Nothobranchius furzeri: one gene and its partner. The protein of the gene in region 2 binds, or shares a complex with, the protein of the main gene of each other region. Links are inferred from orthologs where the notes say so. Each region holds a gene or a part of one and is shown on either strand. Other genes may lie near its edges. The genes, in order: get1 and camlg.

Region 1 (4,608 bases), on a different chromosome or scaffold from region 2:
TATTATAAAAAGACGTTGAAATGTTTTTTCTAAAAGGGCAACTACATTTTTCCCATTTTCCTTTATTATTTTTCAGATCAGACATTGAAGGATTTTAAATGATAAAATTCCACAAGTCCTTTTGACCTTAGGTAAGGCCATTGTAGCACATAATCAAAATTAGCCCATTACTATTTGTGTGTTATTTATACTATTTATGTCAATAAGTTTTTTCTTAATTAAGATCCATCCAGTCTTCCATTTTCTTCCGCTTATCTGGAGTCGGGTCGCGGGGGCAGCAGCTTAAGTCGAGAGGCCCAGATTTTCCTCTCCCCAGCCACTTGGGCCAGCTCTTCCGGGGGAATCCCAAGGTGTTCCCTGGCCAGCTGAGAGACAAAGTCCCTCCAGCGTGTCCTGGGTCTCCCTTTAGGCCTCCTCCCAGTTGGACGTGCCCAGAAAACATCACCAGGGAGGCGTCCAGGAGGCATCCTGACCAGATGCCCGAGCCACCTCAACTGGCTCCTCTTGATGTGGAGGAGCAGCGAATCTACTCCGAGCCCCTCCCAGATGACTGAGCTTCTCACCCTAACTCTAAGGGAGAGCCCAGCCAGTCTGCTGAGAAAACTAATTTCAGTCGCTTGTATCTGCAATCTCGTTCTTTCGGTTAATACCCAAAGCTTGTAACCATAGGTGAGGGTAGGAACGTAGATCGACCGGTAAAGCTTCGCCTTCTGCCTCAGCTCTCTCTTCACCATGACAGACCGGTATAACGCCCGCATCACAGCAGATGCAGCACCAATCCACCTATCAATCTTGCGCTCCAGCTTTCCCTCACTCGTGAACAAGACCCCGAGATACTTAAACTCCTCCACTTGGGGCAGGACCTCATCCCTGAGCAAGGAGAAGGCATTCTACCCTTTTCCGAATCAAGACCATGGTCTCAGATTTAGAGAAGCTGATTCTCACCCCAGCTGCTTCACGCTTGGCTGTGAATCGCTCCAGCGAAAGCTGAAGATCACGTTCTGATGAAGCCAACAGGACCACATCATCTGCAAAAAGCAGAGACCTGATCCTCAGGCCACCAAGACGGATGCTCTCAACACCTTGGCTGCACCTAGAAATCCTGTCCATAAAGGTAATGAACAGAATCAGTGACAAAGTGCAGCCTTGGCGGAGTCTTATATAACTACAGGAAAACCACAGTATAAAGGGTATTCTTTGCTGTTTATTCTTCCTGTTGTGTGCAACCACATCAAAGCTATGTTGTTGGAGGTGCAAACACACGGGTCAAAAGATGTGAACCACACGTGATGTCAACAATCTACATATCTAGCTTTAATTAAGATTAAAAACAAATTATGATTAGTGAGATTTATAGTTCCAGTCTTCACAGCTTTGATTAAATTGGTCAACACAGGATGAAATCTGATGCTATATGTGGCACAAACCAAACAGATGAGTCGTTATTAAGAGAAACATTTGATCAACTAGACATAAAGAAGTGTGTGTGTGTGTGTGTGTGTGTGTGTGTGTGTGTGTGTGTGTGTGTGTGTGTGTGTGTGTGTGTGTGTGTGTGTTCATCCATCCATCCATCCATCCATCCACCCTTCCATCTGTCCATCAGTTATCCAAACAGCTTCATCCTCACTGGGTGTCACCGGTGGCTGTTGTCCATCTCCAAACATCATTAGACAGAAGGCAATAAACTGACTTTCTTAATAAACTGAAGAAATATTCAGAGAACATTTGTGACAGTTAATCTTAATAGCCAAAGAATTAAGGTCTTCCCAAATTCCACCAATAAAGCTAGATATGTAGCTTGTTGACATCACATGTGGTTCACATCTTTTGACCCGTGTGTTTGCACCTCCAACAACATAGCTTTGATGTGGTTGCACACAACAGGAAGAATAAACAGCAAAGAATACCCTTTATACTATGGTTTTCCTGTAGTTATGTAAATATAAATAAGTATTTGCAAGTCATTTTTCATCAGATATGCCAAAGCCACAGCAGAGGGAACAAAAGAGTCACATGTGGCCCTGGAGCCGCAGATTGCAGACCCCTCTGTTATATGAAAAAAAAATGACTCCACAATCCGGCCAAATTCCTGATCAACACACCCTTTCTGCACGAACGTTCCATAGTTGAACGTTGAGATTTGACTGATTGACATCTCGTCCTGCCCACACAGGTAAGATGTTATTTTTCAAAATTATGCTGCCGTGACCTCAAAGCCAATCACAGAAAGCTATGGGCGGAGCTTCACACTTCCTGGTGGGTTGGTAGGATAAAGGGATGAATTATACCAAATAGAGGTGTCCAATCCGGTTTGAGCTAGTTCTGGTACTGGCTGGACCTAAAGTCATGTTACACATACACACTCCTCTGTAACAGGCTCTGGTGTGCGGCTCGGCTGGTCCTTTTCTTCTATAGATTTGCTAAAATTATCAGCAGTTTTCCCTATTGGCTCCGCCGCATAAACTAGATCACAATGGGAAGGAAAAAGGTAAGTTAAAACGTGTGTAATGTGTAAATAAGTATGTGTAATATAAAGAGTTTGTAACATGCAGTTACAGGCATTTTTGTGTTGTAATTATCTGTATTTGTCGCTGTTTATTTGTGGAGAACGTGTTAGTTTGAATGCGGACGTGTGTGTATGGAATGAGTCCATGGTGCGTTCAGGGTTGACGTGTTGATGCAGGGAAGTGAAGTGGCGCCTTTTTTACTCCGCGCAGGCCAGCATTCCAACATGTCGCATCGTGTGTTTTTACTTCACCTTCCTTGTTTTTACACCGTCTACGTGTTGAAGTTCATTAATTGTCCTAAATGCGTGCTGTGATATTAAACTAAAGGGGTGTAACCAGCATTAGGAACGGGTTTTACCTCCCAGGAATTTCGCCCATGAACGCCGCAGGTGATTGGAGCTCTTCCTGACTGTAGAATTTAGAAAGTGTTTGATATCCTCAAACACCGCGTTGTGGAGCTTTTAAAACACCGGTTTGATGGTGCACGTCACGCATGTATTTGCGTGTTGATCTTCGCGTTTGCAGAACACAGCGACACATCTGGTTGTTTTAGACATAAACCATGTAGGCTGCGCCTTCAGGTTTAAGGTTTATTGGCAAAATGCAACTTTCATCATCGAATTGATGTTGAGCGTGCTTTGGTTTATGGGCTTGCTGTAGTTTTTTTATGAATAAACACATATGTGCTGTTTTGATGTACTTTCATCAATCTCTAGGGTCCAGATTAAGTCTTTTAGGCCATCAGAAACACTCCCTGGCCAGGAGTCCTACAGATTACATAATATTTCAGTGACTAAATGGGAGGGGAAGTCACCCATCCCCCTCTTTGCATCACACACCCACTTTAGCACACTTATGAGTGGTTGTTGTTCAAGCCTTGTTAATTTTTTTTCTTCCTGATTTTTGCAGGCAACCTCTGATGCAGATGCAGGTACAGAGGTAAGTAAATCACAAAGTGTACATACACAACATAATTTTGATCATCCTCACCTAGAGGGGAGGACAAAGTTGTACATCTTGCAGACTTCCAACACAGATTTTTATTTTTAAATGATGTAAAGAATTTTTTTAAGTGCATGGAATAACTTGAGTTGTACCCTTGTTTTAATTTTCCTAACTTGCAAAACAAATGCAATTTTCACAACCGCTCGACAAAACGGTATCATGTTTGTTTAACTAGAAGCTGTACATTTGTTTAATTCCAAATTCTTTGTGTTTCCTTCAGCCAAGGCGAAAATCCCAACGGTTGTCAGAGGTAAGCTTCACAGACCTGGACTACTTCATGAATATGTGTTTAATTTGGTATTACAACGCATCTCTATTATTTTATTTGTATTTTGTGTTCTGCAGAAAGAGACGCCAACAAAACCAGAGCCAGAAAAGAAAAAGGTGAAAGGTCGTGTCGGTGCAGCAAGTTACGGTGTGGTTAGATTGTCCAGTTCATGCTGCGGTTTGATGTTCATTGTAGGCACCTCCGAAGACCAAGAAGGTGAAGGAGGTAAAGGCCAAAGCAGAGGAGAAGAAGGAGGAAGCACAGCCAGAGAAAGAAAGTCCTGCAGAAAACGGAGAAACTAAAGATGAGGAGGTATGATGGGTTTGGCTCTTCTCTGGTCAGCATTGCTCTCTGGTGGAGAAAACAAACCAGTGGTGTTTCCTTCGTCTTCCCACAGGCTGCAGGAGTAGATGAAGCTGACGACAAGGAGGACACCGCTGAGGAGGAGGCGAAAGCAGCAGAATAGCTGGCTTACCTCTTTTTGTTGTAAAATGCAGAGAGTATTTTAGCTACTATTTTCTAAAGACGCATTGTTTTTAGGGGTGAGATTGCTTTTTAATTTTTTATGACAATATCAATTAAAAGTATAAAGCTTTTGTAAAGGGAGAGTTTCCATAATTGTGTTTTTGTTCTTTTCACACCTTGTCTTTGAGGATTTTGTCTTCACCGGGACTGTTGGGGGTTCGCTCTACTTTCACAGGAAGTGGATGTGTTTGGTTGTTTTCTTTTACTTGAGAAGAATCAGAGTTCAGCTATGATTTCAGCCGTGCTTTAAGCTAAGTGCTTCTTAAGAGTTAGTAATTGTTTATCTTGTCATCTCGGATAGCT
Region 2 (4,542 bases):
CCACGTCCAGCAGCAAATCTCCAAATAATCTTCAGTGAGATTGTTGAGACGGGAAACCTCGGGGAAAGGACATGCATCGTGTGTGTGTGTGTGTTAGTGTGTGTGTGTGTTGAAGCTGTAAGAGGCCCCTCAGCAATGCCTCTTACTCCATCTCCAGCTGTTTTCCACCTTTATCTTAGAGAAGAACCCGAGTGGACCTGAGATATCAACCGAACATGACAAAGACTTTTCTACTCGGTTGAAGAAGCGTGTTGGAGGAAACAAACAGAACTTTTGCGATGAAGGTTGTTTTGTCTGTGATTGATTTGAATCAGTGTTTATTCTCATAGAACAATTCTGTCAGACTAGCTATTGTTCAGGTGAAAGAACAGGTAAAATGGATGTTTTTGTTCAAAAAACACGTCTAACCTAAACCAGGTCAAACTTCTGCATGTTTGCGAGTGCAAGACTTGGTTTATGAGGACAGTTGGCGCTCAAAGACTTCTTTTTTGAGTGGGCTGTCACCTGGAGATATTTTTTGTACACACCTGGGCTCCAATGCTGATAAAATCCCAGAAGTATGTTTTTTTTTCTTTTTAGTTATAAAGTCGTTATAATGTTTGTTGAGCAAATGCGTAGACTCCTGATGTGGAAAGCAGATGGACCTTGCCGTCTTTGCTGCCTGGAATGTGTAGACTTGGCAGTGAAAGGTTGTCTCATTGGTCTGTCCTCCCGTTGGTCTGTCATCTTTTCTCTCTCTCTCTCTGATGACATCACTTTTCTGTGTTTTTTTCCTCTTGTTTAATTTATGAGACTCCCAAACTGATTAAATGCTATAATTGCCTTCTATGGGAACTCACTTTTTATTAATAATCCTCTGTTTAAATACTGAAATATTTTAATATAATAGGATATGGGAAATTCTTTAACACAGTCATAACAAAGCCATTTTGATCTTGTATCCATGCTTATTGATATTTGTATATTGAAAGACACTGCATTATATAAAGGAGAAGAAATGCTAATTTTAGTGTAAACAGATTGAAATTATGCTAAGAAAATAAACTGTTTGGGACTTTTTAAATGTAGTTTGTGTTTTGGTTGGTGAACCATGTTTATTCTGTGAAGATGGATTCATTTTGGACCAATTAATCAATGTTCATAAGAGTTTGAATTAAGGTTTTCAGTTTGGGCTGATTTCATTCAGTTTGTAATCTATGTATCATAGAAGAAGAATGTATTTAGAAACGGAATTGTTTTGGTCTTTATGCACAAAGTTGTTTTTCATAAAAATGAAAATAAAGCTAGCTTTGTTTTTTTTTTTTTTTGTAGATTAAGTTTTCAACATGACATGGATTATAGTGAATGAAAGCTGAAGGCTTCTGAAGAAACCTTAAATTCAACATTAATGACAAAATTATAAAGTAATTATATAAATATAGGAATAAAAGATTCAACCATTTACCATGCATGACAATCAGAAAATATCTTTAAAAAATGTAGCCAGACATGTTCATAAAGATTTGTGCATTATTTTGGTCCCTGTGATATCACTAAAATATATTTAAATGGATAAAAGGAAAACATTCTTATCGAGGGATCACTGAAAATCACATGAAACTCAGGGGTTTGAGCAGTAATCCGAAGGTTGCAGGTTCAATTCCGACTCCGGACAGAGAATTCTTCTATTGATTTCTTGGGCAAGACATTTAACACGCCATACCTGTGCTGATGGTGATCCTTGGGACCGGTGGCACCAGTCCTCGGAAGTCTTGCCACTTTCAGTGTGCCCCAGGGTAGTTGAGGCTACACTATAGCTCATCACGACGTGTGTGTGTAAGAGAGAGAGAATGGATGAATTATACACTAGTGAAGAGCTTTGGAGTCATCTGAGCATGAAAGGTGCCATGCAAGTGCGGGACATTTATTTGAAACATTAACGGTTTCAGTGGAAATGTATAGGACTTATTAAAAACAAATTTTCAGCAAATATACAGTAGTTTAACAGATTGCTACTTAAATATAAAATGACATGTGTTTTTTTTTCCACCTGCAAGGCGGTGTTCAGGGATGAAAATCCCAATAAACCATCTCGTCATTCTTTGCGCAGAATTGTTACGTCATCGGCGTGCGACCTCTTTTCGGTCCATTCTGTTATGTTTACCGTCTGATTCAGCTCGTGTAGACTTTTGTTTCGCCGTTAACGAGCAGTTGACTCGCCAGTTTCGTGTTCTGTAGTTTCACATTGGAGTCGGAGTTAATTTGAGTCATTTATCAACATGGAGGCCAGCGAGGAGAAGACAGAGAAACCCAGCTCCGGCGTGTCTGCGGCGCAGCGGAGAGCTGAGCTTCGAAGAAGAAAACTGCTCATGAATTCAGAGGACAGGATGAACAGAATCGTGGGTTTCGCTAAAAACGACTCTGACAACAGCGGTAATATAGTCATCGTTCGTTTAGGCTAGCACTACTGGACATATATGTCCCTGTGTGAAACATGTAACCGAGCACTGGTTTATTTAGTTTGGAGGTAAAATGGATGACACTGAAATCAATCAAAAATAGTCTTGATTTTAAATGTGTTGATTCAAGACAAAAGGTGCCTTTGCTACTTTTGAAGCTAAAATTTTCTCAAAAATGTATTATGTATATTTCATAAAGGTACTGATTCTCACCACTCAGTAGTCTCGCCCTGACTGGTGAATTAGTTAATTCTATTAAGACACAAATTCATCATCACACTCCGCACATGTCTGGCTGATCATTCTGACCCATCATCTTATTCTTGTGTTTAACAGTTTTCAAATGATCCTTTAATACAATAGAAGACAACGTTATTGTCCCCATTAGTAAATCACGAATATGTTTACACACACACACACACACACACACACACACACACACAGCTTGAATAATCCAACACAGGCCTTATTTATCTAGAAAACAAATCAAGTACGATGCAAACCCTGAAAAATTCAGTACATCAAGCCGTCTTCTAACACAATTCAAGGACAAAATAATCCAGACCAACATCAAAGGCACCACAGGTAAAGGTCAGTGGCAATGATTCAACTTTTAGAAAGAGATGGGGCAAAAATATGCATACGATTTTCAAAAAAATAACGACAGCTGACCAAAGGGCTGCACAGGAATGAGGCAATAAAAAAGGTAAAGTGCGATGCAAAGGTAAAAACAGAGCAATAAGCACCATTAGAAAAAGTCATAGACAAAGTAAAATATATAAAAACACAGTAAAAAAAATAGCATTTGTTGGGTGGTTCCAAGGATCTGGATAACTTGCAGTAATAAAATGAACTATGAATTCTGCTCTGACCTGTAATCTCAATCCATTCATGCAGTAAAACCCTCCAATGTGGCATAATTAAATCAATTCTGCAATCAATAGTGGGATAAAATCCTTTTCACAGTGATGTGAGATACTCATTAGCAGTTATGATTATTGGTCGGAGGGACCGGTGGCGCCTGTGCTCGGCAGCCTCGCCTCTGTCAGTGAGCCCCAGGGCAGCTGTGGCTACATCGTAGCTCATCACCATCACTGTGTGAAAGTGTGTGTGAATGGATGAATGATACACTGTAGTGTAAAGCGCTTTGGAGTCCTTACTCTGAGAGGCGCTATACAAGTGCGGATCATTTATCATTTATCATTATGGCAAATGCTTTCTGCCAACAGCAGCCATTTAGGTTTGCGTATGCGTATCCCTTTTCACTTAAGATGAAACCGTAATCATTACTATTTAACTATTTTGTATTTATTCAGGATATCTTTGCTCCAAAACTGAAATTGAAATTTTTGAAGAAAAATAAATGTATAAACATACTAAATCTGTAAGGGAATCATTTTTCAAAGCACTGTAAATAACTGATCATTATATGATTGATTGGGCTGAATTAACACCTCAGCAATGATTTATAAATGATCAGGTGTTGCATCTTTTGCCTTTTTAGTGGTAAATGTTTGACCCTGGTCATACATTCTTCTTATAAGTCAGTTTCTTAAATTAGATTTTGTGCGTATGTTGAGTCCATAACGTTTATTAGTGACATGTGTCCAGACATCACCAATTGATTTGTAAGTGTTGCAACAGTAACAGCATAGGCGTCAGCAGCACAGATGTTGATGCTGTGCCTTCCTGTCATCTTTAATCAGACACAACGTCTAAATGCAAACTGCCAGGAAGCATTTTCTTGGGCTGTTCTTGATGTTTTATGAGCTCTGACATCACTCTGAATGTGATGCCAACAAATGTTTCATCATGGAAGTGACACAGGACCTGTTTAGAAAGTCTGATCCCACTCAGAGGGATTTGTGAGAATTAAGTTAGAACCAAATCTGTAAACAACAATAACATTATTTGTATCCATTTATCTGTGTGCTTGATTCATTTCTAGTTCATAAACGCTGATCTTCTCTGCAGGATCCTCCCGACGACCCACAGAACCCCGCTTTCACCTTGATCTGGACAGGACACAGCCGTGGTCTTCGTCCTCCCCTTCCCCGAGACCGCCTCCCTTCCTGCCAGAGGCTTCGATTCATGGCAGCCGCTC

Evidence for each region.
Region 1: camlg (region 2) and get1 share a complex: the UniProt entries of both Homo sapiens proteins name them as parts of the golgi to ER traffic (GET) complex. The link is inferred for Nothobranchius furzeri from reciprocal best matches to the Homo sapiens genes CAMLG and GET1.

The regions. Positions count from the first base shown.
Region 1 is NC_091753.1:27,509,955-27,514,562, reverse strand, and holds the start of get1 (guided entry of tail-anchored proteins factor 1), read right to left. Parts: upstream 2,901-4,608; 5' UTR 2,886-2,900; coding exon 2,866-2,885; intron 2,489-2,865; coding exon of another isoform or gene 2,474-2,488; exon of another isoform or gene 2,268-2,473; intron 1-2,267. Other genes in the region: hmgn1a (non-histone chromosomal protein HMG-14A), read left to right, coding at 2,474-2,488, 3,417-3,446, 3,733-3,762, 3,858-3,896, 3,976-4,092, 4,178-4,246. UniProt on the Homo sapiens protein: Required for the post-translational delivery of tail-anchored (TA) proteins to the endoplasmic reticulum (ER).
Region 2 is NC_091750.1:60,367,502-60,372,043, forward strand, and holds the start of camlg (guided entry of tail-anchored proteins factor CAMLG), read left to right. Parts: upstream 1-1,715; 5' UTR 1,716-2,258; coding exon 2,259-2,412; intron 2,413-4,412; coding exon 4,413-4,542. Other genes in the region: protein transport protein Sec24A, read left to right, coding at 1-28. UniProt on the Homo sapiens protein: Required for the post-translational delivery of tail-anchored (TA) proteins to the endoplasmic reticulum.